4 linked regions of the Elephas maximus indicus genome follow. The main gene of each other region encodes a partner of the protein of the gene in region 2 in a complex. Links are inferred from orthologs where the notes say so. Each region holds a gene or a part of one and is shown on either strand. Other genes may lie near its edges.

What was found.
Region 1: the proteins of GDF5 (region 2) and RGMB are in contact, whole or in part, in a crystal structure (PDB 6Z3J), measured with the Homo sapiens proteins. The link is inferred for Elephas maximus indicus from reciprocal best matches to the Homo sapiens genes GDF5 and RGMB. Residues at the interface, in NP_000548.2 of Homo sapiens: Leu396, Arg399, Phe435, Pro436, Leu437, Arg438, Ser439, Asn445, Val448, Ile449, Leu452, Ser455, Met456; in NP_001353437.1 of Homo sapiens: Gln57, Thr60, Phe63, Val64, Thr67, Ser68, Leu70, Asn71, Tyr88, Leu103, Val104, Ser107, Ala108, Leu110, Gly111, Ile112, Asp114, Leu115, Gln118.
Region 3: the proteins of GDF5 (region 2) and TWSG1 are in contact, whole or in part, in a crystal structure (PDB 8BWL), measured with the Homo sapiens proteins. The link is inferred for Elephas maximus indicus from reciprocal best matches to the Homo sapiens genes GDF5 and TWSG1. Residues at the interface, in NP_000548.2 of Homo sapiens: Glu434, Phe435, Pro436, Ser439, His440, Glu442, Asn445, Val448, Ile449, Leu452, Ser455; in NP_065699.1 of Homo sapiens: Cys26, Lys28, Cys31, Ala32, Ser33, Val35, Ser36, Leu39, Ile40, Cys44, Gln45, Cys46, Arg47, Cys73, Val74.
Region 4: the proteins of GDF5 (region 2) and HJV are in contact, whole or in part, in a crystal structure (PDB 6Z3L), measured with the Homo sapiens proteins. The link is inferred for Elephas maximus indicus from reciprocal best matches to the Homo sapiens genes GDF5 and HJV. Residues at the interface, in NP_000548.2 of Homo sapiens: Met412, Trp414, Trp417, Phe478, Asp480, Ser481, Lys488, Tyr490, Met493; in NP_001366281.1 of Homo sapiens: Arg95, Arg98, Gly99, Leu101, His104, Ser105, His108.

Annotation. Positions count from the first base shown.
Region 1 is NC_064820.1:106,507,359-106,515,353, forward strand, and holds the start of RGMB (repulsive guidance molecule B), read left to right. Parts: upstream 1-4,986; 5' UTR 4,987-5,384; coding exon 5,385-5,523; intron 5,524-7,995. UniProt on the Homo sapiens protein: Member of the repulsive guidance molecule (RGM) family that contributes to the patterning of the developing nervous system. Acts as a bone morphogenetic protein (BMP) coreceptor that potentiates BMP signaling. Promotes neuronal adhesion.
Region 2 is NC_064843.1:34,001,203-34,008,896, forward strand, and holds the start of GDF5 (growth/differentiation factor 5), read left to right. Parts: upstream 1-4,683; 5' UTR 4,684-5,023; coding exon 5,024-5,648; intron 5,649-7,694. UniProt on the Homo sapiens protein: Growth factor involved in bone and cartilage formation. During cartilage development regulates differentiation of chondrogenic tissue through two pathways.
Region 3 is NC_064829.1:13,965,559-13,973,350, reverse strand, and holds the start of TWSG1 (twisted gastrulation protein homolog 1), read left to right. Parts: upstream 1-4,778; 5' UTR 4,779-4,952; intron 4,953-5,909; 5' UTR 5,910-6,057; intron 6,058-7,495; 5' UTR 7,496-7,532; coding exon 7,533-7,655; intron 7,656-7,792. UniProt on the Homo sapiens protein: May be involved in dorsoventral axis formation. Seems to antagonize BMP signaling by forming ternary complexes with CHRD and BMPs, thereby preventing BMPs from binding to their receptors.
Region 4 is NC_064821.1:157,530,318-157,537,087, forward strand, and holds HJV (hemojuvelin), read left to right. Parts: upstream 1-4,070; coding exon 4,071-4,167; intron 4,168-4,570; coding exon 4,571-5,136; intron 5,137-5,632; coding exon 5,633-6,256; downstream 6,257-6,770. UniProt on the Homo sapiens protein: Acts as a bone morphogenetic protein (BMP) coreceptor. Through enhancement of BMP signaling regulates hepcidin (HAMP) expression and regulates iron homeostasis.

The sequences.
Region 1 (7,995 bases), on a different chromosome or scaffold from region 2:
ACTCTGATGGAAGAGACTCGTTCCTCGAACACTCGTGGGTTTGTTTTTTTAGTAACACACTTAACCCGGGTCTTAAGTGTCTCCCCTCGTTCTTCGCAAACGTTTATCCCAAGTCTTCTTAAGCTGTACGCTCGAGTCACATTGGCACCTTAGATGGGCAGGAAAGACCGCTGGATTGCTTACTTGGACAAAAGTCCAGAGGATCGTTCCGGCCCCCTCTCCCATATTTATACACACTAGGAAAAACCCCAAAGATCATTTGTAGAGAGGAAGGTGTGTATTTTGTGATGCTGGTGGACAGACAGCTAGAGACCGGGGAAGGGAATGCAGGGCGGGGGCGCATCTGTCTCCTAGCCGCCGGGTGAGAACAGCTAGCACGCTCCCTACCTCCCTGCCCAGGCGACCGCTGGCATGGTCTCCGGCTGGGAAAAGGCAGCGTGGCGGGCTGTGAGGACCGCACGGAGGGTGGCGCTGGCGGCGTGAAAGGCGTCTTTGTGCAGGATGAGAGCAGGTGGGGAGTGGTGGGAGAGGTTAGCGCTGAGCAGGGACCTCGAGGCGGGGGTCTGAGGCGCAGCTACACCCGGCAGCCGCACTGGAACGTTCCGGGTGGCAACGGCAGGGGGCGGTACGGCACTGGCAGGATCCAGGCCCGGGGCCTGACGTCCCTGCTCTGTTTGGCTGTCTTTGACTCAAGAGGGGGGAGAAAGCAGCTTCGAGGAAGCGGGTTTGGGAGGGGGGGGATTAAGAGACTTGCCTCCCGCCCCCTTCCCTAGGTGGCGGAGAGCTTGCGCTGGCTGGAACTGCGCAGCTGGTCGTAGGGCGCTCGCTCCGGAGTCTGGGACAAGGGAGAGCGGCCTCCAGGCAGAGCCCCCACTCGCCCCGGGCACCGCGGCCCCCACCTGGGGGAGAGGGGCGGGCGCGGTGCTGCCCTCCCTCTGCGTCCTGGCCGCGTGGCTTGTGGCTTATTTTCCCAGCTGGCAAGCGTCGCGCTGCAGACAAGGGAATGCCTGTGGTGAGTTGTTTATTTTTGTTGAAGTTTGCGGTGGGCCGGGGGACGTGGGGGGCGACCGGCAGGCAGCGACCGGGACTGTTTTGTTTAGGTCTCCATCCACCTGTGTGGTATAAATCTGCCAGCCTCAGGGCGGTGGGGGGCCAGGGCGAGAAAGCCCTGTCTCTCCAAAAGGCCCCTTTTCGCCACTTGCAGACCTGGGACCACTCTTGATTCTCCACGCCTGGAACCGGCTAGATCCTAGATTACGCTGCCCCTATGCCCACCCGCCCCCCCATCAACGCTTCCTGCACCCGTTGCGGACAGGGCTGGCGATCCTAAGGGACCTGGGGAACAGCTGGCCATTGAAGCTCCTACCGGGTGCCCTTCCCGGTTCCTTGAGGGGAGGAGAGTTGAGATTTTCATGTGATGGGGCGCCTGTGAAATTGGTGGGAACTTGTTCTGGCGACTTCTCCTAGAGCTGCGTGAAGTTGGTTCAAGGGTGTCAGTACTACAAACTGAGATCCCGCGTTGGCCAGAGTGTCCTAAACTTGTGGGGAGGGGGTAACCAGTTGGCTCCTGGGGAGCCCAGAGGACCCTTCTCGGGAGGGCGGGGGGGGGGCCTGATGACAGTCACTGCTGCGGCTGCATTTGCCTAAAAAAAAAAAACCCTAAATACATTAGAGAGCTGGTAAAGCTTTTAAGGTCTTCTTGGGAGTGAGTGGCTGGCTAATGAGAGGTTAATTTTGTTTCGAAGGGAAGGCTGCGCTGGTTTCCTGAGATAAATGGACAGGAAGCGCATTACCTCCGCGCGCTGGCAAGCGGCTCCCAAATGCTTTTTGCACCTGCCACTTTGAGCCGTGCGAGCCGCGGCGGAGCCCGCAGGGATCGCGGAGGCCGATTGTGTACGTGCGGGTGATGAGCCCCATGCACGCTCCGGACCCTCTCCCTCTGGGGGCACAGCGCTCAAGCCGGGCTCTGTTCTCTCACACTCAGGTCTTGCGCCCCACGATCCCGCAGAGACCCCTGCAGGAGCGGAAGGGTTAAGAATGATGTAAGTACAAACCGAGAGCTGCTTGCCGCCGGGTTGTCCGACCCCAGGCTGTTTCAGCCCCTGCTTTGCGAACACCGTGGACAGGGAGCCCTTATTCTAGAATCGGTTGCACTAACCAAGACCCTGGGTCTGATTCCCGGTTCCTCTGACACAGGAGATGTGTTAAGCAGACAGACCTTCGTGTAATCTGGAAATGGAGATACATTAAAAAAAAATAATAATAACAGGGGTGCAATTAAGACATCGCGAATAGGTTCAGGAAAAGAAACCACATCTTGTTTAGCATCCATTTAAGATTCTGGCATGTGTTTTAATTTTATCCACTTGCATGTTCATACAGTGGCATGCTTTCCTGGGTTCCCTGAAATGTCCTGCTCTGATCTCATCTTTCCTTCCTGAAAACAAAGACGAAGGAAGAGAGTACAAACGGCAAGTAACAGGGTGGATTTGTGAGTTGTAAAAGCCATAACTCACGACTTTTTTTTTTCTGATTAAAATGTAAAACGTGTGTTTAAGTCATCGATTTTTTTTTTTTATTGTGCTCCAGCTCCCTCCCCAGACTTTTATTTGTAGAGTCTGAAATCCTCCTTAATCTTCAGCACAAGAGTGTAAGGAGTGGTTGCGCTATAAGCGACCATTCGCCGTCCTCTTCCTTTTCAAGATGGTTCTGATCTAACAGTCCGAATTTACCCCGCAAGGGTCAACTGATCTAATGTCTTGACACTTGAAAATAGGAACCACCTTGTGGTTTAATTGTGAAAATTAGCATTTTCCTCTAGCCGGCTGAACACTTATGCAGCAATAAAAAGTAAATTGTTAGGCTTATAAATCTTGGGCTTGTCAAATTTTCCAACAAAGGACCAATAATAAAGCACCTTAGAGGAGATGAAGTTTTTTTCTCTTAAGAATAGTTCCGTTTTACCACGCCAGGATTTGTAGTGACCCAAGGGCGCCCTCTATTGATAAGAAAATCTACAGCTCCCGTGTACTTAAGGAACAGGATATGGGGAGGAGGGGACGGTAAGGAGAGAGGAAGGGGAAAAAATCACGGAAAGTCACAGGCAAAAAACTCACACCAAGCTGTATTTATCCTTGACTCTGATTATAGGTTTTGAAGTATGGCCAGTAAGGTGGGACGATTCTTTCATAAGGGTCGAATTAAAACTTGGGTTAAGGAAAAAGAAATCGCATTTTACTGTCAGTCCTTGTTAGCAAAATGCTTTGAAAAACAATGTTCATATTTGATTAGTTTTGAAAGTTTACTAGTATTTTATTAACTTTATTATGTGTAGTAATTGCAAAAAAGTAAAATTTAGCTTTAATAGTATTTAGTCCATAGTATTTTTTTATTATCAAAATCCTATCTGATGATGCCTCCTCTAAAAAAGTCATTTCTCCAGGCAACTCTGAAGCTATTATTAATTATATTCATATTATGAGTATACACAAGGCTTGGATTATATCTTGGACACCAAAAGGTATGTTTACCACTTGAGTCATCGTTGTATGTAATAAGTAAGCAGTGAAAAGTTACAGTAAAAATAGGTAGACATCCTTTGTTGGGGACCTAGTGGTTTGAGCAATTCACGTGTCTAATGCGTGAACTAGTGGGACCGGAGGATTGCCCTCTATTATCCTGGTCTGTAGATTATTGTAAAATGTGCAATATTAACGTGTCCGTGGTTGATACGGAATTCCTAATTAGAGATTCTGAGTAATGTAGTGTCCGTAAAGCTGCATACAGCGATTTGGATGTAAGTGGATTTAAAATGGCAGCCCTGAGCTGTCTGGGGAACAGCAAAGGCAAGGGTAGTGTGAAGTGACTTCTAGTTTTGAGACCATTCTTGAGATTAGATACCACTTCACACTTACTTACAACCAAATTGGACCCTATCATCAATCTCACAGCTGCTTTACTGTTTCTCCACTTGGCAGCCGCTTTCCTGGAAGGCAACTGGGTGTTTTATTCCCCCCCCCCCATTTTTTTGGACACCTCCAATATCAAAAATAAAAACTGACCTGCCCTTGAATTAATTTGCCAATAGAACAGTGGAAATTTATAGAAAAGCCACTGAATAACAAGTCGTGGTATAATTATTCTTCACTGCACAAAATCTCACCTTCATTAATCTAATTATACTGTAACCTAACACCTTAAAGTTTGCCCACTCCCAGACCCCTCCCCGCCGCTTTACAAAAGGGAAAATATCAAAGAAACAAAAACACCAAAGCTTCATTCAGCTACTAGCGAATTCCACCAGGAGCTCGCGGACACCTTCCCAGTCCCATCCGATCTGCCCTGGACTGCGGGTAACATTCTGATTTCCCAAGCGGCTCGGTGCTTGTTTTACACAACGTCGCATCAGGCTCGGAACGCGGTCCCGAGAAGTGATAGGCTGCCGGAGACCTGCCGCAAGGCGCTCCATGAAAGTGCCAATTTCCTCCAAAGAGCTAGAGCCGGAGTAAGGGGGCGGAGGGAGTGTAATCAAAAAAAAAAAAGAAAAGAAAACCTTGAAGGGAAGTTGAACTCTACCACATTAATTCAAGGAGAGGTCAAAGGCCGGTTTTTTCGTAACGCCGGCGAGGTACAGAGTTACCGTCGTCTGTTTCAATTGGGTGCGAAGAAACAGTAAATCGCGAAGTGGGCGGACGGAGAGAAGGGGAGGGAGAAGGACGGGGTAGGGCCCGGGCGCTGTAGACTGGATCCGCAGTCGGAGGCCAAGGAACTCGAATTACAAGGAGCAGGCGGGAGGCAGGAGGAGGCGTAGGGGTGGGCACTTGGGGCCCTGCGAGTGGCGGGCTAGGCCCGACGAGCGCTCACAGCCAATGGGGCTGGAGGGAGGGGCGAGGCCGGGGGCGGGGACGGCGTGGATTGGTGGGCTCGGGCAGGGCGGGGCAGCAGTGCGGGTCCGAGATTGATTGACCGCGGGGGGCGCCGCGCAGAGACACCGAAGCCGCCGGCGGCTGCTCTCAGTAGCGGGGTGCGCCTCCCGTTGGTCCACGCCCGCGCTCACGCCCTTCGAGCCCACGCTGGCCGGGGCGCCCGCGTGCTCTGGGCGGCACTCGGCACTCGCTCACGGTCTTTGTGTCTTCTCTCCCGTCCCCCTCCCCGCGCCCGCCGCGATGCCGCTGCGCCCGGTTGCCGCCGCCGCCAACTCGCTCCACCCGCGGCGCGCTGCTCGCTCCGGCGGTGGCGGCGGTCTGTCTCCGACGCGGGCCTGAAGGAGGAAGAAGAGGAAGCGAGGCGCGCCCCCCGGCCCATGCAGCAGCCACGGCCGCGGATCTGCCACGGCGCCCGCGCCGCCGCCCTCGTCGGAGCCCACGAGACCTGCATGGACGGGCATGGGCTTGAGAGCAACACCTTCCTGCGCCGCCGCCGCCGCTGCCGCCGGGGCTGAGCAGCGTCGCCGCCCCCGGCCCTGCCCGCCGCCCCTGGCGCTGCTGCTGCTGCTGCTGCTCAGCCTCGGGCTGCTCCACGCAGGTACGAGGCGTGCGGGGGGGAGCCAGCCCAGGTCCGGGAGCTTTGTTCCCAAACAGCCTCCGGTCCCGAAGCCATCGCCGCGGCGGAAGACGGCGTGGCGGACGGGAAAGGCCTGCCGAACCCTGGCACGCACCTTAGCGGAGCTCGCTGCCGCCGGCGGGCGGCGCGTCCTGGGCGCCTGAGAGAGGCCCCTTCCCTCCCGCCCGGCTTTGGCACCTACCGCTGATAAATCTTCCCTTCAACAGCCGCTTATCAAAGATCTGATGGGCGGGGGCTTGGGCTCTGCGCGCCCGAGACAAACGTTCCGGTTGCTTTATTGCTCTCTGCATTGGTGTTTACTGAAAGTCAGGCTCGGATCAGGTTTCCGGCGCCGCCGCCGCCTCCTCGGAGGAGAGACTAGGAGCCTTGTGCTGCTTCTCTGGAGTTGGGGGAGAAAGGGGTGGAGGCGAGGCGAAGGAATCGCACCAGATGGAGAGATTTTAGCTAGAGTTTCAAAACCTGTGGGTTAATCTCGAAGTATAACCAAAACTTCTTTTGAACAGGGATTTCCTTCGTATTTGCAAAAGCTGCTTTTAATTCTTCTTTCAAGCTCTCTGGCAAAACTCGTGCTTTGTGGCTAGCCGCGTGTTTTCGGGATGTGGGAGAGGTTGACAGATCTGCTGCTTTCTGGAGGTCGGCGCTTTCCTTGTGGAAGCAGCAGTGTGCAACCTCTTTAGCGAAGGGAGCCTGGAGATGAGCCTTACAGCCTGTGGTACTTCCTATTTTCCTTTTAAAAACGTTCCGTTGAAATCTAGGGCGCTCTTGACAAAGCAGTGTACCACTTCTTTTTAGAAGTTTACGTAGACAGAGAATTTTTTGTAATGCCAGAACTGAAGGGGAAACATCTTCTAATTAGACAACAACCAGAACATGAGGTAAATTTATTTTTCTTCGAGGTGTTTTTGCCCTGTATTTGTTTGACAGCAGTCACGGCGCTCTGATCTGCAGAGTCCTGAACTTTCATGCCCCCCAAACCCCGATTATTTATAAATGATTAAAAATGGAGTAAATTTTATTAAGTCATACCAGGCGTGCTAAAAATCAAGGAGGTGTTTTAAGTAGAGGGAAAATGTGTGGCATCTGAGGAGACAACTTCTTTTACTTTGCATGTGGCGTAACAGCTGCATTTTAACACTTGTCACTTGGAGGAATATAGACTGAAGTCTTAAAGTGCAATAGCAAGTTTTAGAAAGATTAAGGCTTTTAATTCATGGTTTTAGAACCTTAGAAAATAATGGCTGTCTGCTTACAGTTACATAGAGAATGTTTCTTGATGTATCAAGATGTATCCGGCGTGTTTTGTGTGAAAAATGTATGTCTATAGTACCCAAGTATAGGTTTTGTGAAATGGGAATTGAAATGTTAGGCAGAAGTGTTTCCCCTTGGCTACTTGGATATTGTTTTCCGTAGTTGCCATAGGCTCCTATGACAGGATTGGAATGTGGTCTTGAAGATTTCTTTGCTGCCCTGTGAAAGCTTAAGAAGTTGGTTTAAAGATTTAAAACACTGAGGTGCCTTAGTTCAAGAGCTTGGAATTTGAAACTCTTCTTAGTATTTCAGTGTGTCCTCGACTAAACTCACCGTTAGATTTAACCTGAAGTTGCTGTGTTGAGTGATTTCTATGGACAGCTTGTTGGAGTGGAGCAATTGTTCTGGTTATAGAAAAGGGCTCTTTTTCAGAGATTTCTTTAAAGGGGGATGTTATTGAAATGCAGGGGTTGTCTCCTCAGAGCAGGGAGCCCAGCTGAGTGCTCTTTGCAGATGGACTACCATACGTTTTATGCCGGGATCTGTATCATTTGCCTCAGCACCCCATATGGCTCCACATTTCACTTTATCCAGCTTTAACGTATCTCATTTCTTCTATTATAAACTGGTGATTGTACTGCACATTCACACGTGCGGTCCTGGTGTTGAGAAACACCATCTTGAATGGTGAAGCTTTTATGTTTGAATCACGAGTGAGAGCTGTAGACTCACAAATCCTTTAGCACTTTCATTAGCTGCAATGAAAATATCACATTGATCATAGATGACCTGATTCATGAAATAGAGAAATCTGAGCTGCAAATTTTGAATCCTACCCTTGGGAAGTGGAAAGAGTGCTTTTATTTACCTTTTTTTCCCCTCTTAAAGCAAATCTCTGCAATTTCTGGTTGGAAATCCCGTATGGGAGTTACTTGCTTACTCATACAAACTTCATGGCCTTTTTGGCTACATCTTTGTAGTTCTTTCTGCTCTGCATTGTCTTGGCATTCTGGCAAGAGGTTTACTTTACTGCCTGTAACAGGCAAAGTGTGCATTGTCATTATAAATTCATGAAGCCTGGATGTTTCTGGGTGTATACTGCAAATTAGTCATACAGGAGCTTGCAATGGGGCTGAAACTGCTGACCCAAACAACACTTTCTCTCTCCAGTTTGTCCTTCCCCCT
Region 2 (7,694 bases):
ACTAACAACCGCTACCACCTGAAATGCTCATCTCCCAGACCTTTTATATGACTCGTTCCCTCACTACATTCATATCTCTACTCAAATGTCAACCCCCTCAAAGAGACATTCCCTGTCCAGCCTATCTAAAATGGACACCTCTTTGACCCTGCTTAATTATTCTTTATAGCATGTACCGTTCTCTGAACATATGCATGGGTTTGTCTCTTCCACCAGCATGTAAGTATAGACTTGGTTATCTTGTCCCTTGCTGTATATCCAGTGCTCCAGCCCGGGGCCTACCACATGGTACCTATAAACCCGTTGCCATCGAGCCAATTCTGACTCATAGCAACGCTATGGAACAGAGTAGAACAGTCCTATAAGGTTTCCAAGGAGTGGCTGGTAGATTTGAACTGCTGACCTTTTAGTTAGCAGCTATAGCTCTTAACCACTACGCCACTACACCCAATAAATATTTTCTGAATAATTACTACATGAACGAAAACTTAAGATCATCCAACTGGCAAGTGGCAGAGCCGGGACACAAAGCCAGCTGTCTGGCCCTAAAGTCTCTACACTTAGCCATTGTACCAGGCTGGACTAGCCCAAAGAGATCCTGGGAGGTTCAGACAGAATAATGAATGTGAAATCACCTTGAAAACTGTTAAGTGCTTGAAAACAGCAAGGGATTATCATTATTCTGTTTACTGTTTGCTCATCTATGGAATGGGGATAATAATACCCTGCCCTACTGACTTTATAAGGATGTTTTGTGGGGTTCCAGTGAGATAATGGTTGGGGAAACATTCATAAAAGTTAAAGGCTCTATATCATGGAAGGAACTCTAAAGATTATTTCCATGCCAGTGGCTTCTCTAGGCTCCCATCCTCTGCTTCAAGTTTGACATTAATATTGCTGACAGCCGAGGGGGAGGTGAGGGAGACTCGAGGGACCCAGGGACTCTGCGTCCCAGTAATTAAACATGTCGGGACTGAACCACTGCCAAAGGCAGCATCTGGTTGCAATTACCAGAGGGGACCGAAGTGATTAGTCACCTTTATAGTGAGAGCCAGGCAGGTCCCCTGGGCTCCTCCCTTGAGAAGCCCTTCTAACTAAGCTAAGAGTCCTCTTACCCTGCTCCTACCCATTTCTAGGGATGCCCTGGTCCTCAGGCAACAGTCTCTAGCTGAGACTGTTCTATGTCCCCAAAGTCCCAGCCCACTGAATGAGTCCTTCATTGAAAATCAAGAATATTGTAGCTGCCTCCCCCTCGCCCCCCTTTCAGTTCTTCTTGTGTTTCTAGAAGCCAGGTTAAGATTCTTAGGTATGGAATATGCTGAAGTGGGAGTTAGGCTAAAAATAATTTAACCTCTCTGAACTTCAATTTCTTCATCTTTTAAAATGGGGGTATTAAGGGTGCCTTCACCATTTTTTCACCATAGGGTTGTTATGAAGATAAAGGTAAAAATGCAATGAGAAAATAGGCCAGAGTCTAGTTTACTACAATAAATGTTCGGTAAGTAATAGCTATCATTATCATTTGCCAGGTGCTAGGCTAAGAAAATTGTATTTTACGTGCACACAGCTAATTAGGTTCCCTTTTAACAATTTTTATACAAATTGTTCAATACCATTGGTTACAATTTTTACAGTGTGTCAGCATTGTCATTATTTCCATTCTGTTTGTTCTGTTTCCATTGGTCTAGCTTCCCTTTCCCTCCTTGCTTTCTCAATCTTTGCTTTTGGGTAACTGTTGACCGTTTGGTCTCGTATAGTGAACTGTTTAAGGGAGCATATTACTCACAGGTGATATTGTTTATTTTATAAGCCAATCTGTTATTTGGCTGAAAGGTGATCTGCAGTAGGCTAATCACTTTTTATGATTCATTAAATTGTCACAAAAACCCTGTAAGTACTGTCATGATCCCTGTTAGAGTTCCAGAGAGGTTTAGAGACTTCCAAAGATTGAACAATGGGTAAGTAGCAGAACCAGGCTTCAAGATCAGGTTTGGTGGTCTCTAGAGCCCTTGCTCTTTTTCAGACTATGTGCAGGGACATCTTATTTGCTTAACTCCTTCCTTCATTCTTCACTCAGGCTTACAAAGTGCCTAATAAATAAGCTAGGCAGAATCCCTTTAAAAGAACTCAGAGTCAAACGAGAAGGCATGATATGTCTGCAAGTAACTATACTTTAAAGTAGAAGATGGTGTCTTTTATATATAAGGGCCAGTTAGAGTTTCATTCATTCATACAGCACATACTGAGAATCTGCTATGTGCCGGGCCTTGTGCCAAACACTGGGAATAATGATTTCAATGAAAATATTGAAAGAGAAATAAGGTACAGTCTAGTCACAATCTAATGGGAGAGATATATAAATAAATTATTACAGTTAAAAGGAATTAAGTTGTGATTTTAAAAAAATAGGAAAAAAGTGCAGACAGAGGGAGAAACGAAGTGTGTTAGAGACAGGAGGCAGCAGCAGACTGGATAATCATTGAGCTGCCAAAATGAAAAGGGGCACGGGACATATGTGGCGACAATTCAGAAGGAATGTGCATTGGCTGGGGGAGGGAGAGGGCTTCACGGAGGAGGTGGCTCATGAGTTGGCTCTTTTGCAGTGGGTACGTTTTAGGTAGAGGGAGGGTTGCAGCAGGAAGGACCTGTGGAAACAGGCCTAGCCACTCTGACAAGGTGCAGTTCCCAAGGATCTCTGCTGGGGGAGCCATTGAGAGCTGGCTTGGGGAGAGATCCTGGAGGCTTAGAAGCCAGTTATAGTAGGACAAGGGGGGAGGAGGACTGAGACAGTGGGGGAGGCAGTGGTTGGAGAGGAGGGAGAAATGCCAAAGATACTGGATATGACTGGTTATGTGGGTCATCAGTGAGGTGCCAGTGAGATAATGGATGGAGAAACAATATCAAAACATCAAAAGAGAAGCCAAGAGTTGTGAACCTGGGTGACTGGAGTGACAATAATTAATTCAGCCTTTCTTTTAGTTGTTAGTTGCCATCAAATTGGCTCTGATTCCTGGAGACCCCGTGTATAATAGGATAAAATGTTGCCCAGTACTGTACCATCTTCATGATCATTGGTATGAGTCTATTGTTGTAGGCCATCCCTAAAGCTCCCCCGAAGAGTGCCTGGTGGTGCACTGGCTTTCACAGATAGGGCAGTGAAGTTTCCTGATCTAAGACTACCAGAGGAAGCTTGGAAAATGGCCGAGTGGTGCTTCTGTGCTCGGATAGCCTCTGAGGACCTGGGGACGTCACTGTGAAAAGACTGGTCAGGCAGCCACTTGGACACCCTAGGCACCGGCTGGATCTTATTTCATTCATCAAATACTAAGCTTCTGGTCTAGGCTGGGCTAGGTGGGGAAACCAATCTGGTGACCTTGGAGTGCAAATAGACCTGTTAGACAAGCTCGGAGAATCTCAGATTGAGAAGGAAGCCTACCTGACTACTGCTTTCTACTGCTGCTGTGACTCTGACAATGTGACAAGTGCTGTAGAGAGATGTACAAGTGAGAGTGATTGGCGCTGTCTGGGGGTCAGGGAAGGCTTCCCAAAGGAGGAGAAATTCAGCTGAACTTCTCAGAATGAGAAGGACTTCCTCCAGTTGTGAGAGTGAGAGAATGATATTCCAGGTGAAGGGAACCGTTTCCTCAAGTGACTTGTGGTGAGTTGCCCAAAGGGTCTGTGGGGCAGTCTCCCCAAAGGAAGGGGCTTCAGCATTTCAATAAGGCACTTGAAGAAACCCTTGAGTCGGCTGTAATTCAGACTTCTTCCAGAGCTACGAGAAAAGCAGTATGTGGGAAATCTTTTTTCCAGCCTCCTGAAGGGGCCGCTGCTGCCCCAGCTTGTGGCTGCTGCCCCAGCTTATGGCTGCTGCCTCTGGACTCAGCCAGTCCTTTCCAAGAAAACTCTGAGGACGTCTTTGCTGGGGTGATGGTAGGGTACACCCTAGACCTGCTTGCTCTGAGGAGTGGGCTCAGGGGTGGTAGTGCCCCTGAGCCTGAATAAATAATCTGAGCTCAGTCAATGGCATTTGTGGGGGAGGGGTGTAGTGGGCATTGATAGTTCCCTGTCTCTGGGTCACCACAAGTTTATTAAAATAAAAGAAACTGTGGGTAAATGCTGCCATCTGTGCTATCCCCCCCCCCCCCCCATCAAATCAGGCCCCAGACTAGACGCAGGGGCTATAACTGCTTTGAAAACACTCCAAGGACTTAACTGAAAACCCAAACTCCCCGTGCTTCTGGGGCTTAAGATCCTTGAGTTCATTCCTCAGCATCTCTCCTTAGGAAGGTGGGGTGGGCTGTTCCGTGGGGTAGAGGTGAAGACCCCTAAGTCTGCTCCACGGACTGGGAGGCCCCTAAGTCTCAAGTCCCACTGCGGGGCTCTGTGCCAAGAGCCCCCGTGAGCCATGGCCTCGAAAGGGCAGCAGTGATTTTTTTCACATAAATATATCGCACTTAAATGAGTTTAGACAGCATGACATCAGAGAGTAATTAAATTGGTTTGGGTTGGAATTCCGTTTCCAATTCCTGAGTTCAGGTTTGTAAAAGATTTTTCTGAGCACCTGCAGGCCTGTGTGTTTGTGTGTGTGAAGTGTTTTCACTGGAAAGGATTCAAAACTTGGAAAAAAAAAAAAAAAACTGGAGCACACAGGCAGCATTACGCCATTCTTCCTTCTTGGAAAAATCCCTCAGCCTTATACAAGCCTCCTTCAAGCCCTCAGTCAGTTGTGCAGGAGAAAGGGGGCGGTCGGCTTTCTCCTTTCAAGAACGAGTTATTTTCAGCTGCTGACTGGAGACCGGTGCACGTCTGGATACGAGAGCATTTCCACTATGGGACTGGATACAAACACACACCCGGCAGACTTAAAGAGTCTCAGACTGAGGAGAAAGCCTTTCCTTCTGCTGCTACTGCTGCTGCCGCTGCTTTTGAGGGTCCACTCCTTTCATGGTTTTTCCTGCCAAACCAGAGGCACCTTCGCTGCTGCTGCCGTTCTCTTTGGTGCCATTCAGCGGCTGGCCAGAGGATGAGACTCCCCAAACTCCTCACTTTCTTGCTTTGGCACCTGGCTTGGCTGGAACTGGAATTCATCTGCACTGTGTTGGGTGCCCCAGACTTGGCCCAGAGACCCCAGGGGGCCAGGCCAGGATTGGCCAAAGCAGAGGCCAAGGAGAGGCCCCCCCTGGCCCGGAACATCTTCAGGCCAGGAGGTCACAGCTATGGTGGGGGGGCCACCAATGCCAGGGCAAAGGGGGGCAGTGGGCAGACAGGGGGCCTGACACAGCCCAAGAAGGGTGAACCCAAAAAGCTGCCCCCCAGATCGGGTGGGCCTGAACCCAAGCCAGGACACCCTCCCCAGACAAGGCAGGCTGCAGCGCGGACTGTGACCCCAAAAGGACAGCTTCCTGGGGGTAAGGCACCCCCAAAGGCAGGATCTGCCCCCAGCCCCTTTCTGCTGAAGAAAGCCAGAGAGCCCGGGCCCTCTCGAGAGCCCAAGGAGCCGTTCCGCCCGCCCCCCATCACGCCCCACGAGTACATGCTCTCTCTGTACAGGACACTGTCCGATGCTGACAGAAAGGGAGGCAACAGCAGCGTGAAGTTGGAGGCTGGCCTGGCCAACACCATCACCAGCTTTATTGACAAAGGGCAAGGTGAGGGGGCGGGGTCGAAGGGGCATGGCTCTTGAGGGAGGGGCATTGGCCGCATGGAGGGGCTTTCAGAGCCCTGACACTGCACTGTTGGGAGACGGTATGTGCATCTGGCCTGGGGTGGGTGTCTGGGACTTGCCTCATACGTACCAGATCCTGGGCTGATGATACGTCAGAGCTGGAGGGCACGTAGGGATCGCCAAGACCAATTCCTGCAAGATGCAGAGGGGGTCACTGAAGCCCAGAAAGAGACGAGACCTGCTCAGGGTCACACAGCCAGCCGTTGGCAGACTTGAAGACCAGACTCCAAGATCCTTGATTGCCAAGCCATGCTCTGTACCTATGTGCGTTGGCTAAACTTTCCAGGCTCCAGGGGTTTGTAGGTTTTCTCAGATGGCAGAGAGAGAAATGAATTTCTAAGTGGTTTCTCAACTTTGCCCTCAGGTTAGGGGGCAGAGGAGGCAGGGTAGGTGAAGACAGTAAATGGGGCATCTTGGAGTTGTGGAACTATGTTTAGATGTATTGGGAGGCAGGAGACCTAGGGTCTAACTCGCGATGTGACCTCGGGAAAGCCCTTTTCCCCTGAGGTCTCAGTTTGCCCATCTCTACAGCTATGTAGAGGTTGGGATGGAAGATTTCCGAGAACCCTTCAAATATGAAAACTTTATGTCCTGTCCTGACAGTGGAACACAGATAATTTTCATCATTAATCCAGGATACCTGTTTCTCTCATTTCTCCCCTGCCCACTGGGTGTTAGTGTCTTGGCTGCTTTTCTAAACTTGCTGTGTGATTTCAGCAAGTCCTTTCTCCTACCAGGGGCTCAGTTTCTCCATAAGTGTGAAGAGGGGGTTAGACCAGCAGACTGGTAAGGTTGCTCTCAGCTGACATGCCCTGCTTCTGGAAGTCTTAGGACTTTGGCTGGCGGGGTGGGGGAGGGGTCAGAGAGTGGGAGAGGCTCCTTATTAGAGCTGGCCTGTAGGGGACTGATAGGGGGTTGGGTAGGGGAGGCACCGAGGCAGCAGGTCTGGCTGAGGTGGGGGAGGTGGCCTGGCTGTCTGCCCAGCCAGGGAAAGCTGTGACCCCTTGGGGGCTCATAAAATAAGTCCTGTGCCCCCCAACACTAAGGGAGTTTGGGGAGGGGGGATGGGGGAGTTTAAAGGCCTAATTAGTTAGCTTCTAGAGAATATATGAAAGCTCCCCGATAGTAAATTGGAATTTTGGAAGGAGGCATGCTGATTTGTACATACTATGGAGCCTTGTACACACTCAGTCTTACAGTTTTTCACAAATACAGAATCATACACATACACACACACAGAGATACTTCTTACATACAGGGATCATACACACCCTTGAAATGTTCATACAAGCCCAATTATACATACACATAAACACCACATGCATTACCCTTCATATTCGCATATGAGCCCAATCATACACACACACACACACACCGTCACATATACACCCTCACACACTGAATAGGGTAAAACACATATACAACAAAATCATTAGACTGGGAGGTTTGGGGAAACTGGACTGTAGACCAGTTTTGTCATTAATTCACTGTGTGACCTTTAAGCAAGCCACTTGCCCTCTCTGTGTCTCATCTATAAAGCGAGAACACCAGGTCTCTTTTAAGTATAGTAGAAGCAGCTCAGGATTAGATATAAAAAGTTCTAGGCTACAGTTCCAACTCTGGTATTTTTCTAGCTGGGTGACCTTGAGCAAGTAACCTAACTTCTCTGAGCCTCAGGTTCTTACTCTGTGAAAACTGGGGAAATGATAATACCCACCCCACCTACCTTACAAATGAGGTATCTAATTAGATAATGGCTGAGAGAGGGATATATAGAAGGTAGTTATAAAAAAATTTTTTTTTTTTAGTTATAAAGTTAATGAATCTCTGATAAACATAGATCATTGACAAAAGCACCCAGAATCACAAAGAACCACTCAGATCGTCGATAGCCATGTCTACAGATAAACACCCCTACTTGGTCTGCTGGGTAGGAAGATCCTTCATTTCGAAAAAGGCTCTCAGCCGT
Region 3 (7,792 bases), on a different chromosome or scaffold from region 2:
GGGAGTGCAAGATGTTAACAGGAGAACCAGTGTGCAGCTGGAGGAGGGAAATGAGAACTCTTTGTACTTTCTGCGTTTAAGTTTTATGTAAACCTAAAATTACTCTAAAAAAATAAAATCTATTTTTAAAAATGTTGCAGTATGCCAACGTTCGTTGCAGCGTTAGTCACAGTAGCTAAAATTTTCTCTACAGATGAACGGATAAACAAAATGTGGTATACACATACAGTGGAATATTTTCAGCCATAAAGAGAAATATACTTCTAATACATGAATGAATCTTGAAAACATTATGCTAAGTGAAATAAATCAGACAAAAAAGGACAAATATTGTATGAGCCCACTTATATGAAATAGCTACTCTAGGCAAATGCACAGAGACAAAAGCTTATCAGTGGTTACCAGGAAGAAGAAGAGAAGGGGGGAGTATTGCTGAAGGAGCACTGAGTTTCCATTTGGAAAACTTTCAGAAGTAGATACTGATGATGTACGCATAACGTGGTGAAGTAGTTAATGTCACTGAACTATACACTTACAAATGATTAAAACGGAAAATTTTTTGTTATATACTTCAGCAGAATAAAATTTCAAAAAATGATACAGATCTACACATTATTGTTGTTAGCCGCCGTTGAATCAGTTCCGACTCATGGTGACCTTAGGTGTAACAGAAGGAAACATTGCCCAGCCCTGTGCCATCTTCATGGTCACTGGTATGTTTGAAGCCATTATCGTAGCTATTGTGTCAATTCATCTCATTGAGGTGACTTGGTCTTTCCTGATGGTGTGTCCAAAGTAAGCAAGTTGAGGTCTAGCCATTCTCAGATCCAAGGAACATTCTGATTGTATTTCTTCTAAGACCAATTTGTTCGTTCTTTTGGCAGTCCACAGTACATACAAAATTCTCTGCCAACACCATAGTTTGGATACGTTGTTTTTTCTTCTATCTTCCTCTTTCATTGTCCAGGTTTCACACGCATAAGAAAACCGAAAACCTGTTGCTGTCAAGTCGATTCCAACTCATAGCAACCCTACGAAGTGACCGAAAAGATCACGGCTTGGGTCAGGCACACATTAGTCATCAAAGTTACATCTTTGCTTTTGAAAATTTTAAAGAGGCCTTTTGCAGCAAATTTGCCCAATGCAATACGTTGTTTGATTTCTTGACTGCTTCCACGAACGTTGACTGTTGATTGAAGTAAAGTGAAATCTTTGACAACTTCAATTTCTCCTCCATATATCATAATGTTGTTTATTTTTGTGAGGATTTTCATTTGCTTTACAAGTGTAATCCGTCCTAAAGGCTATAGTCTTTGACCTTGATCAGTGAATACTTCAAGTCTTCATTTTTGGCAACCAAGTTCGTATCATCTGCATATCACAAGTTGTTAATGAGTCTTCCTCTAATCCTGATGCCCTGTTTTTCATACAGTCTGGGTTATTTGTTCAGAATACAAATTGAATAAGCAAAGTGAAAGGATAAAACCTTGCCACACTCCTTTTCCGATGTTGAACTGCACAATATGCCCTTGTTCTGTTCAAATGACTGCCTCTAGATCCATGTACAGGTTCTGCGTGAGCACAATTAAAAAAAAATTAAGTGTCCTGAAATTCCCAGTCTTCAAAATGTTATCCATAATTTGTTACGGTCTACACAGTCGAATTCCTTCACATAGTTGATTACCAGAAAGATGTTTATTTGTGTTTTTTTTCTTCTTTTGGCCAAGATCTATCTGACATCAGCAATGATATCCTCTTCATGTCCTCTTCCAAATTTGGCTTGAACTTCTGGCAGTTCCCTGTTCATGTACTGGTGTAGCTGTTTTTGAATTGTCTTCGGTAAAATTTTGCTTGCATGTGCTATTACTGATATTGTTTGAGAATTTCTGCATTCTGTTGGATCATCTTTCATTGAAATGGGCATGAGTATAGATCCCTTCCAGTCAGTTGGCAAAATTTCTGTCTTTCAAGTTTCTTGACACAGATGACAGAGTGCTTCTAGCGTTACATCAGTTTCTTGAAGCATGTCAATCAGTATTCTGTCAATTCCTGTGGCCTCGGTTTTGCCGATGCCTTCAGGGCAACTTGAACTCCTTCCTTCCGTACCAGAGATTCTTGGTCATATCCAACTTCCTGACATAGCTGAATGTGAACCAATTCTTTTTGGTATAATGACTGTACATATTTCTTCCATTTTCTTTTTATGCTTCCTGCATCATTTAATTTTTTACCCACAGAATTCTTCAGTATTTCAACTTGAATCTTGAATTTTCTTTTTCAGTTCTTTCAGCTTGAGAAATGCAGATCATGTTCTTCCTTTTTATTTTTCTAACTCCAGGTCTTTGCACATTTATATACTGGCATGAAAAGCTGTCCTAAATATATACTAAGTGAAAAAAGCAATCCAGCATGCTTAACGTACTTTTATTTTTTTTGCAAATATATGTTAACATATGTGAATTTTAATAAAAGCCGAAATATACACGAAACTCTTACTAGTAGCATTATCTGGGGGATAAAATGGCAAGAGGTTTTCACTATCTACATTGTGAAGCTCTATAATATTTGGAATTTCCCTAGTCAAATGTGTATTAGTTCTGTAATCAGGGGGAAAAAAAGCTATAATAAATTAATGAAGAATTTAAATAAATTAAATGAAGGAGGTTGGACCTAATTTGGTAGGGAACAGTGAATCACAGGTACATTGTGAATTTTGTGAAAACTTAGGGGATATTTACAAAGCGTAAATATAAAAAAAATCTTTTGCAAATATCTGTTGCTGAAATAGCATTTTCTCTCGGTAGAAAACAATAGCACTCTTCCCATTTTCTTTTATTTTGGAAAATGTATTTATTTTTCATAAAACTGTTAATCATTTTGTCATGCAATGAATTTATTGTTCTTTTTAAATGAAAATTAGTTTCATTTGTGATAAATATTGATAGATGTAACACACAGAAACAAAACCTCTTTGGAGTCCTCAATAACTGTTAAGAGTGTAAAGCAGTCCTGAGACCAAAAAGTCTGAGAAGCTTTGATCTATGGCATCACTTTTTAATGGCTGAATTTATCCGTCTCCCTGGAGTTTTTTTTTTTTCCTGGAGTAGCCCCTGTGGTGCTCCCTCCTCCATATTTCCCATGCTAAGCACCGGGCCAAGCACAAAATAAGAACCCCAGTAAGATTTAATGAAGTACTGATAGGGTTGCTATGAGTTGGAGCCGACTGGAAGGCAATGGGTTTGGTTTGGTTTGGATATAAGCTTGGAAGGCTCTACCATCGGCAGTCCTCCTTCAGTAGGTCTCAGGTGGACCCCAGAAACCTGCGTTTTCATTAAGTCCTGCCTCTGACGTCAAATAAAAGGGTTCAAGTGTCCTGTCTGCTACTTTATTGGCTAGGCTACTTAACCCCTCTGTGCCTCGGCCTTGCACGTCTGTAACTGAATAGACAGACACCTGCCATCCAGTCAACTCTGACTCACCGCCACCTTGTGTACAAGTGTTGCCTGGTCCTGCATCATCATCACCACTATCGACATGTTCAACAACACCATTGTGACTATAGTGCCGATCCATCTCGCTGAGGGCCTCCCTCACCCTCACTGACCATCTTTGTCACCAAACATGATGTCCTCCTTCAGTAATTGATCTCTCCTGGTGATGTATCCAGAGCAAATGAATTGGGCAATGTTCTGCTGTGATTCATAGGGATTTTGTGCCTAAATTTTGGAAGTGGATCCTAGTCTGTCTTAGTTTGGAAGATCTGTGGTTCAAACCCCTGCCAAGAATTTGCATTTCTAACAAGTTCCCTACAGAGAATATGCATTTCCACACCCTGACATACTGAATCATAATCTACATTTTAACAGATTCCCGGGTGATTTTTATGTATAACTTCCTGGAAACTTGTTAGAAATGCAAATTATTAGCAGGGGTTCGAACCAGAACAAACCGGCTCCAAAGCTTGATAGCAACACACGAGCAACCACAGTATGACGCACTGAGGAATGTTCATGTCTACAGTGATTCAAGTCTATACGGAAAAGAACCAAACCCAGTGCCGTCGCGTCGATTCCGACTCGTAGCGACCCTATAGGACAGAGTAGAACTGCCCCGTAGTTTCCAAGGAGCGCCTGGCGGATTTGAACTGCCCACCTTCTGGTTAGCAGCTGTAGCACGTAATCAGTAGGCCACCAGAGTTTCCTTCAAGTTGACAGTGAGCTAATAATAACCTCTCAGGTGGCTTCAGTGAGCTCCTGCACGTAACAGTCTCAGCGTAGAGAACAGCGCTTGAACCCACCGCCGTTCAGTCGCTATGGACTCAGCCACCCTGGAGGACAGCGCCAAACTGCCCGCAGGGTTTCCAAGGCTGTAAATCTTTACCGCGGAGTGGCTGGTGGGTGCCACTGCTTTAGCCACTGCGCAACGACGGCTCCCGAAGAGTGTTGGTCACAACGCTCTACAGAGGGTACTCGGAGAAAAGAACCTGACAGGAAGGGTCTGCTGGGGCCTAGGTTATGAGACCAAGAAACTCGATCTGAGGTGAGAAACAGAGTCCAGGAAAGGAGCGGTGAGCAGCTCCCCACCAGGGTGCGCGTGGGAAACCCCGGGGGCTGTGCCCCTGGGGAGAGGGGCAAGCTTGGGCGCTGACGAGCCGGGGGTGGGCCTGCGCGGCGGGCGGGGCGGGGCCGCGGCCGGGGCGGGGCCAGCGCGGCGGGCGAGGGGCGGGGCCGCGGCCGGGGGCGGGGTGGGTGAGAGACTCTTACTGGCGGGAGCTGGCGGCGGCTGGGCCAGAGGGAGTGGCGGACCGGGGCGGCGGGCAGCGGCCGGGCCTGTCCCTTTCAAGCGCTGGAGGCTCGCGGGCGCTTCGCGGAGGGGACGGCGCGGAGGCGCGGCCTAGCCTTCTGGCACAGCCTGCGCGGGGCTCGGTCGGAGCTGCCCGGGGACGAGCCGCGGTGAGCGTACGGCTCGGGCTCGGGCTCGGGCTCGGGCTTCGGGCTCGGGCTTCGGGCTCGGGCTTCGGGCTTCGGGCTTCGGGCTTCGGGCTCGGGCTTCGGGCTCAGGGTGCGGGCGGGCGGGGGCTCCGGCGCGGAGTCGCGCCTGCTCCTCGCGGCCTGGCCGCCGACGGGGGACAGGAGTGGGGTGCTGTCGCTTGGGGTCTGCGGGGCCGGGCCGGGCGCCGAGAGGCCGGGCAGCATCCCCGGGCCGGGCGCCGCCTCGGGCCGGCTGGGCTGCGGCGAAGACCGCCGGCGTTGTGCAGCGAGCGCCGTGGCCCGGCGCCCCGCGGGCCGCAGCCGAGGGAGCAGACGCCGGGCGCCCGGGCTTGGGGGGCGGCCGGGCTGAGGGGGGCGGCCGGGCTCGGGGGGGGGGCGGCGGCCGGGCTGCGGGGGGGGGCGGCGGCCGGGCTGCGGGGGGGGGCGGCCGGGCTGGAGGGGGGGGCGGCCGGGCTGGAGGGGGGGGCGGCGGCCGGGCTCGGGGGGGGGCGGCGGCCGGGCTCGGGGGGGGGGGGCGGCGGCCGGGCTCGGGGGGGGGCGGCGGCCGGGCTGGAGGGGGGCGGCGGCCGGGCTGGAGGGGGGCGGCGGCCGGGCTGGAGGGGGGCGGCGGCCGGGCTCGGGGGGGGGGGGGCGGCGGCCGGGCTCGGGGGGGGGCGGCGGCCGGGCTGGAGGGGGGCGGCGGCCGGGCTGGAGGGGGGCGGCGGCCGGGCTCGGGGGGGGGGGGGGCGGCGGCCGGGCTCGCGGGGGGGGGCGGCCGGGCTGGGGGGCAGCCTCGCAGAGCTGGAGGATTCTCTTGCCTGGTTTGCACATGCCCACGTCAAGAATGAACGCGTTTTCCACTGAGATCTTGGGAGTAGCATTTGTTAAACACTTCACAGGACAACCGTTAAAGGTTTTTTTTTTCTTTCCCTTTTTTAGTGGTCCTTTTTGTTGGCCTCCACAAATCATCCGACTTGGTGTGTGTTGTTAAATTACCGAAATTGAGGTGCTAACGGTCTTAGGGGAATGCTTCTCGGGCCCAGTAACAATCCCCAGGGCTTTCTCTTTCCACATTGAGTCATACCAGGTACTGAGCCCTTTATTTCATCGCCTAATTGCTTTTGCTTTATTGTGCTTGGTTATACTTAGAATAAAGGTTTAAGGTAATTGTAAAAGCATAAACCCACCTTTTATCCTTTGATAAATATTCATTTATTTTAATTATCTTTTGGGTGTGTGTTTTAATCCCAAGGAGTTGTATCTTCTCCTGTATAAAGTTTAATAACTGCGTTGGCTATTTAACTGCTGTCAGAATTTGTGCTGGTCTCTTTTTCTTTTTTAACTGTAGTATCTTGGTAATACCTTAGAAGAATCTATGGTACTAACAGAATTAAAAGAGTGTCTTTGTATTTTAATAAATTATCTAGAGTTCTTAATACAATTAATAATATATTATCTCCTTTGTTATTTGCTGAATTATTTAGTGTTTGATTTTGCAGACTCCTTTCTTTGAGCTGTTTTATTCTGGCTGACTTTGTTGGGAGACAAAATGAGATAGTCATAAATAATCACTACAGGAATTTGCATTTAAAATTTGTTTTAATTGTAAGAATTAAAACGTTGTTAAATGTTTTAAAGTTATAGTACAAAATTAGTAGTTTTTATATGGGGTTAAAGTTGAGTAAAAAAGCCCCCAGGCCCCCGATTCTGACACACAGGTCCCATAGGTCAGGGTAGAGCTGCCCCATAGGGTTTCTAGGGAGCGGCTCGTGGATTCAAACTGCTAACCTTTCCATTAGCAGCCAGTGCTTAACCACTGCACCACCAGGGCCCCTAAAGTTGGGTAAACCGATTGCTGTCGAGTTTGTTTCAACTCATAGCAACCCTATAAGTCAGGGTAGAACTGACCCATAGGGTCTCCAAGGAGCGGCTTGTGGATTCAAACTGCCAACCTTTTGGTTAGCAGCCAAACGCTTAACCACTGCACCACCAGGGCCCCTAAAGTTGAGCAAACCCATTGCTGTCGAGTCTGCTTCGACTCATAGCAACCCTATAGGTAAGGGCAGAACTGCCCCATAGGGTTTCCAAGGAGCGGCTGGTGGATTTGAACTGCCATCTTTTTGATTAGCAGCTGAAGGCTTACCCAGAGTAGTGGAGCTAAAGCTAAAGCTAAACAGTGGCAGTGCAGTTTTGAAACTAGTTATTTGCTTGATATACTCTCAGGTTACTTAGGGTTTAGATATAACTATAACTTCCACAGTCACTGTTTCTGAGTGGTCTGAGGAATTTTAGTACCCTACGTCTTGAAAAATAGATAACAAGACATTACAATATAAAATTGTTGTTTATTTTCTGAGTGTTTAAATACTCTTTCATTGAGAATGATTTTAAATGATCTCTCAGAAGTCTTTTGCCACAAACAAGGTGTCTTGGTTTATTGGTTTTGTCTTTCGTTTTTGTATTTGGTTTTACCCTAGCACCTGTCCTGGAATTAAAGTTTTGTTTTTCTTTGTTTGTTTATTTAGCTTCCTGGGAGTTGTTTATTGTCTTCTGTGAAGAAACATGAAGTCACACTATGTGGTCCTGCTTACTCTAGCCATCCTGATGTTCCTGATGGGGGTCCCTGTGTCACTGAGTTGTAACAAAGCGCTCTGTGCTAGTGACGTGAGCAAATGCCTCATTCAGGTAGGATGAAGAGTACCTTTTTAAAAAATGTTACAGTGTGGTGAAGAGCAGATAAATTTGAGGCCTGACGTATTATACTGTGACACGCTGGTCTGGATACAAGCAAGGTCAGACACAGGATGTTCAGAACCAAGAAT
Region 4 (6,770 bases), on a different chromosome or scaffold from region 2:
TACACAAAAAGCAGGATAAATTTTGAATGTTTCACATTACTAGCAGTTTCAAAATAATGAGTTGATCCCTAGCATTCTGCAATGATGATCAATGAGTTTTTGTTTTTAAAGTACCATTGTAAACTTAGAGATTTGAACATATTTGATATGTCTCAATCCATTGTAAATATTATTCCTTTTGATGCTCAAATTGCCCCCACCTTGGCCAGTGGGACCTATTCTAGTTGGCTTCTGAGTCCTTTTGATACAATCCTAATAGTCTTTGAAAGCTTCCTTGCTTATCTTGGATAATTACTGCCCCAAACCTGAAATTAGCCTAGTTCCTTTTAGTGGAAAATGGTATTAGATAGCACAATTTGGACACTAATAGTGTTCATTGCTGTTGGGTAATTATTTCTAGGCCTTTTTTCAGGAAACATGTTCTAGGATAAAATACACCATGAATTCATAGTTAGACTTCCAATTTAAATAAAATATTACAGGACTTTCACTTAAATTCATTATTCATAAATCTCTATATCTTTATCCCATACCAAAAATTCCATTTCTCAAAGACCCTAACATTATTACTTACTTGTTTTATCCCACAATAAACCCACAATAGTTTCAGAATAACAATATCAACACTACCATCAACAATATGACTACTTTAAGATATTTTTGCATTTCTTTTATCAGTAGGGTGTACCCCACTTGGGATGTCACAATCAAATTATTGTGTTTTAAAGTCACTTGAATAGTTTGATTGGGAGCATTTTATATTATTATAATAAAACTCCTCATGATATGGTGGAGAAAAAAAAATGTGTTAGCTCCTTATACATATGAAGAGCATTGTTCAGGCCTCTAGATTCTGAATTAAATGTAAAGCCAACTGGTATAGGTGTCTTAGTGACACTATTTGGAATCAACCTTCGTGTTAATTTCACTTGGCAAGTACTAAGGGATGATGATCACAGATATGCCTAGGGCTGCAAAAAACATGACACGGCTAAATTCTTTGGTTGTAATATCTTTAAAAGGTCAAAAGATTATGTTACTCCACAAAAATATCTTTCTGAATTTCCTTTCCTCTCGGTTCATTTCTCCACATCAGTCACTGTGTTTCTGACATTCTGCTTCTGTCTCTTTCCTTTTTGTCAATAATTTTTTTCATTGTCTTTCACCTTTCACCGGCCATCATACAGAATCAAAGTACCTTTTCATCTTTTGTCACACTTATTGAAGAGTTTTATGTTCATTATTATTCTTAATTTTTAATAGGTGATTGAATTTTTTTAATGTTTTCTCTCTCTAAATTAATAGGTAATAATGCTTCTGACTGCAGAGGCTCTAGATTGATTTCCACTCCCTCTCTTTCCCTCCCCTGAGGATTAGCAGCCTCAGGGGAAAAAATTCCATCTCCATTCTGTCTTCACCTCTTTACCTTTCCTAGCCTTCTTCCACTAGCAGCTCACAAGGCTATATTCTTTGTGTATCCGTGTGGTGGAATGAGACGGAATTGCTGCCCAAGCTAAGGGAATGGGAATGGAAATGGAGGAGGTGGGGTGACAGACAGCTGCAGGGATCTGAGCTGGACAGACTGAACAAACCCTCATCCTAAACAACTCCGAGCTCAGATTTCTTCTCTGGACAGCTGGCTTTTTTCGTCCTACTAAAATACTCTGCAAAGATGGGGGAGGGGCTGTGGCTTCATCGGCCATAGATTTTATTTAAAGCGAGCTACCTCCCAGGTACTATCTATAGAAACTGAATGCAATATTCAACATAGCAGGGATGAAAGTGGTGAAGGAAATGCATCCATTTTCCCACTACAATTTTCCAAGGCCAGAAGCTCATTATCGAGAATGCTGGAGGGCTGCCTGGAGTAGGCAGCGACTATAGAGTTATATAAGCTGGAATTGGCCATTTGACTTGCCTGTCATATTTCTCCTCCTCTCCTCCACCTCCCCCTCCCCCGCCTTGGCACCTATATTCCATGTTCTCCCTAATCCTACTCTCCCCACTCCCCCCACACCCACACTCTACCCCCACCAACGTTCCTGGAATTTTGGACTTAGCTATTTTTAAAACCGTCAACTCAGTAGCCACCTCCCTCCCCCGCCCAGCTGTCCAGTACTCTGACCAGTCATATACTCCCCCTTCCCCCAACACCAAACCTTCCCTGTCTCCCTGACCTCAGTGAGATTGCAGCTGGGCTAGAGACCTGTGGGAGATATGGAGAAAGAGACGGGGGACCCCCTGGCTGGAGCTGACCAACAGAGTAGGCAGTCATGGCTGGAGAATTGGATAGCAGATTAATGTTTGACCTCTGGAAACAGTAAGTCAAAATGAAATTTCAATTGCTTTAATAAGCTTTTGGACTGAAGTTAGACTTTTGTAAAACCACAGATGCCTACTTGAGGGTCACTGGTCTGAAAACTAGGATCTCTCCCATACCAAGGTGCTTCAATCTGCATTTTTCCTTGTGTCTCTATTTCTTTCCGGCCTCTGGCCATTTGAAGCTTAATCTTCCTTCTCTCCTCTGGCAGTCTTCACTTCCTCCTTAGTTTCTACCTCTACACTTCTGAAGAAGTTTTGAGAGGAGTCCCCACACCCTCCATTCTGTGGTTTTCTCACCAGGGCCAAATTTAGCCTCTTATGATTTAGTCACTGACACCCTTCCACCCTGTCCCTACTTTTTATCAGTGCCCTTCACATTGTGTTTCCAAGGGTGTGGCTACCTCTTGTAAGTGATTTCTCCCCACAACTCTAGTCTCTCCATCCTATTCTCCCTCCTACTTGACTCTTCTCCCACATCATATCCTTACCCCAAGAGAGGAGAGTTCAGCAGGAAAGAGCTGGCCTTTCCCCAAACCCCATACTCATCAAAAGAGGGATTGAGAACTTTCTGAATTTGCAAAGGGAAGAATAATGGGAAAAGTGGTTTTTCAGTCAGGTTTGGAAAAACACAAGAACTGTTGACTCAAAAAACAACAAATAGTGATTCACATGCTTGGTTTGTTTCTCATTATTCCATGAGAGGGAGGGATTATAATTGCGGCTATCTAAAAAAAATTTTAAAAATAAAACATTGCCATTGAGTCGATTCCGACTCATAGTCATAGCGACCCTATAGGACAGAGTAGAACTGCCCCATAGGGTTTCCAAGAGCAGCTGCCGACCTTTTGGTTAGCAGCCAAATGCGTAACCACTGCGCCACCAGGGCTCCTAGAGCAGATGAAAAGGGTTGGTTCTCTTTTCATTTGAATACTGATGTTCTAGAAAAGAGACAGGTATCCTACCCTTACCCCTTCTCACTGGAAATTCTCACACAAAGTAAGAAAAGAAATGAATGGCTCCTGGAGGGTGTCCCCTCCTAATAGGGAGGGGCAAATAAGTAGTTGCTGAAGTATTTTCAGATCCTAATTCTATTGGAAGGAGCCCTGGTAAAGCAGTGTTTACGCTCTCAGCTGCTAACCGAAAGGTCAGCGGTTCCCACCAGTAGTTCCACAGTAGAAAAACGTGGCAATTTGCTTCTGTAAAGATTACAATGTTGGAAACTCTATGGGGCAGTTCTACTCTGTCCTATAGAGTCACTATGAGTCAAAATCAACTCGCTAGCACACAGTAACAGCAACAAATTCTATTGGAGCATCCACTGGGGTGACCAGGATCTGATCTATTCCTATGATTCTTCAATTTTTGACATTTTTACTGTTTGGTAGCTCAGGATGGGTCAATACAGTGGACTCTGCCCCCTGAGTCCATTCAATTTTCCCTCCACCCCCAGCCAGGGGTATTGCACAAGAGACATGAAAGTGGCCACAGCAGCGGGGCATGCAGGCTTAGCAGCCACTCTTAAAGATTGGAGAGGCCCATTCTCCCCAAACTCTGGTCCTCTCATCCTTTTCTTGATCTTCTCTGATTCTCTTCACATAACTCTGACCAATCTTCAACTCTTCTTTCTCCCCTATGCCCAGCCAAATTTCTTTTTTCAGTCCCTTACAGGACGTCTGGTCAAAATTCACTAGGTAGGAGGGTCATCAGCTGGAAAGAACCGGAGCCTGGGGGGACCTGGATGGATAGGTATGGGGGATCCAGGGCAGCCCCCTAGTCCCCGGTCCCCTTATGGCAGTCCCCCAACTCTAAGCACTCTCACTCTCCTGCTGCTCCTCTGTGGACATGGTAAGGAGGGCCAGGGAAGGGTTTGGGGAAATCTAGAGGGTAGGTCTCTGTGTAGGGGGGTGGAGGGACTACGTGAGCATGTGTGGGTGAGAAGAGACGGGTGCTAAGGAGTCCCCCCATTCTCAAGTTGGTGTATTTCAATTCTCACTCAGCTTGTGGAAGGGCACTGGGGAAGCCTTGGTCTACAGAAATGTAGCAGGCCTACACAGTTTTGGTAACGCTGAGTGAGGACAGGACTAGGTGGCTGTGGGCTGTGGGCTGTGGGCTGTGGGCTGGAGAAGGCCCTCAGTTGGGTTTTGGGAATGGCTGGAATCCCCTAATGACATGTGGGAGAGTTACAGGAATACTTGAGTGAAGTGGAGGTCTGGCAGCAGTCTCACCATCCTCTTCCTTCCGCCCTCAGCTCATTCTCAATGCAAGATCCTCCGGTGCAACGCTGAGTATGTATCGTCCACCCTGAGCCTTAGAAGAGGCGGTTCACCAGGAGCGCTTCGAGGAGGAGGAGGCCGGGCAGGAGGGGTGGGCTCCAGCGGCCTGTGCCGTGCCCTCCGCTCCTACGCACTCTGCACTCGGCGCACGGCCCGCACCTGCCGAGGGGACCTCGCCTTCCACTCGGCGGTGCACGGAATCGAAGACCTGATGATACAGCACAACTGCTCCCGCCAGGGCCCCACGGCCCCGCCCCCGCCGCGGGACCCCGCCCTTTCGGGCTCCGGCCCGGCCCGCTCCTCTGGCCCGCCAGCCCCGGACCCCTGTGATTATGAAGGCCGGTTTTCCCGGCTTCACGGTCGTCCCCCGGGCTTCTTACATTGCGCCTCCTTCGGGGACCCCCACGTGCGCAGCTTCCACCACCACTTTCACACTTGCCGTGTCCAAGGAGCTTGGCCCCTGCTAGATAACGACTTCCTCTTTGTCCAGGCCACCAGCTCCCCAGTGGCTTGGGGGGCCAACGCCACCACCACCCGGAAGGTCAGGAATTCAATTGCTCCTCCCGACCCAACTCATGCAAGCCTTTCATGGTCCCCTCAGGATACCACTCCCTCTCTATCCTCACTATTCCACCGCAAGGCTCCCTGCACCTTTTCCTTCATAACCACTCCTCCATCTTGAATCAACTTGCTCCTGTAAATCACTTTCCTTTGATGGGGATTTCACTCAAACCCAGAAAACACTAAAAAGAAAGTTAGGACAAGGAGAGTTGAGCAGCCCTGTGTTGAGGAGTTTCAGAAGGGAAATTTTTCTCCTGTGGAAGTTGCTGAGACTGGCACCAAAAAAGAAAGGGAGGGGTTGAATTGCAATGCGGCGATATTGGAACATATATAGGAGAAGGGATCAAGAAGTGAGGGCCATGATAAGCCTTGCACATAAGCCTGGATCAGATCCCTGACTATGTTATGAGGCCTGATTGGGTTGAGGAGGGGTGCTCTGATTGCAAAATGAACTATTTTTCTTCTTGTCCTCACAGCTCACCATCATATTTAAGAACATGCAGGAATGCATTGACCAGAAGGTCTACCAGGCTGAAGTGGACAATCTTCCTGCAGCCTTTGAAGACGGTTCTATCAATGGAGGTGACCGACCTGGGGGCTCAAGTTTGTCCATTCAAACTGCTGACCCTGGGAGCCATGTGCAGATCCAAGCTGCCTATATTGGCACAACCATAATCATTCGGCAGACAGCTGGGCAGCTCTCCTTCTCCATCAAGGTAGCTGAGGAGGTCGCCAGGGCCTTCTCAGCTGAGCAGGACCTGCAGCTCTGTGTGGGAGGGTGCCCCCCAAGTCAGCGACTCTCTCGATCAGAGCGCAATCGTCGGGGAGCTATAACCATTGATACTGCCAGACAGCTGTGCAAGGAAGGGTTGCCAGTTGAAGATGCTTACTTCCATTCCTGTGTCTTTGATGTTTTAATCTCTGGTGACCCCAACTTTACTGTGGCAGCTCAGACAGCTCTGGAGGATGCCCGAGCCTTCCTACCAGACTTAGAGAAGCTGCATCTCTTCCCCTCAGATGCTGGAGTTCCTCTCGCCTCAGCAACTTTCCCAGCCCCATTCCTTTCAGGGCTCTTTGTTCTGTGGCTTTGCATTCAATAAACTAGGCCAGCAATCCCATGACTAGTTTGGGAACAATTTGGCAGTATGGATTGTCAGGGAAGAACATAAACACTTAAGGAACCAGTGGGAACTTGGAGACACCTGAAACAATGGCATTTATCCAGAGTCAGATGAGGCTGTAGACCAAGGTTGAAGTGATCGCAGGATAAGAATTCTGGGCAAAGACTCTGCATTACACACTTCTCTAGGGGCTTTTCACCAAATTTCTCAGTTCTCTTTATAGTGAGCAGATTGTTCCAGTCCACGTACTCCTGAGATCATCCGTACAGGCTTAGTGGTTAAGGGGTCCTTATCAGGGGCAGATTATCCAATAGGCAAGGTAAGCCTGGTACCAACCTTTCTTACCAGATCATGTGAACAATTTCACGTCTTTCTACCACATCAAAGATTCTGCTTCTTGCTATGGCTGGCATCTGTCTCTCTCCCAACCCTACAGCACCTTCCCAAGGAATCAAAGCCACTTTTCAAATTTACAGTCCCTGACAGGGAAGGA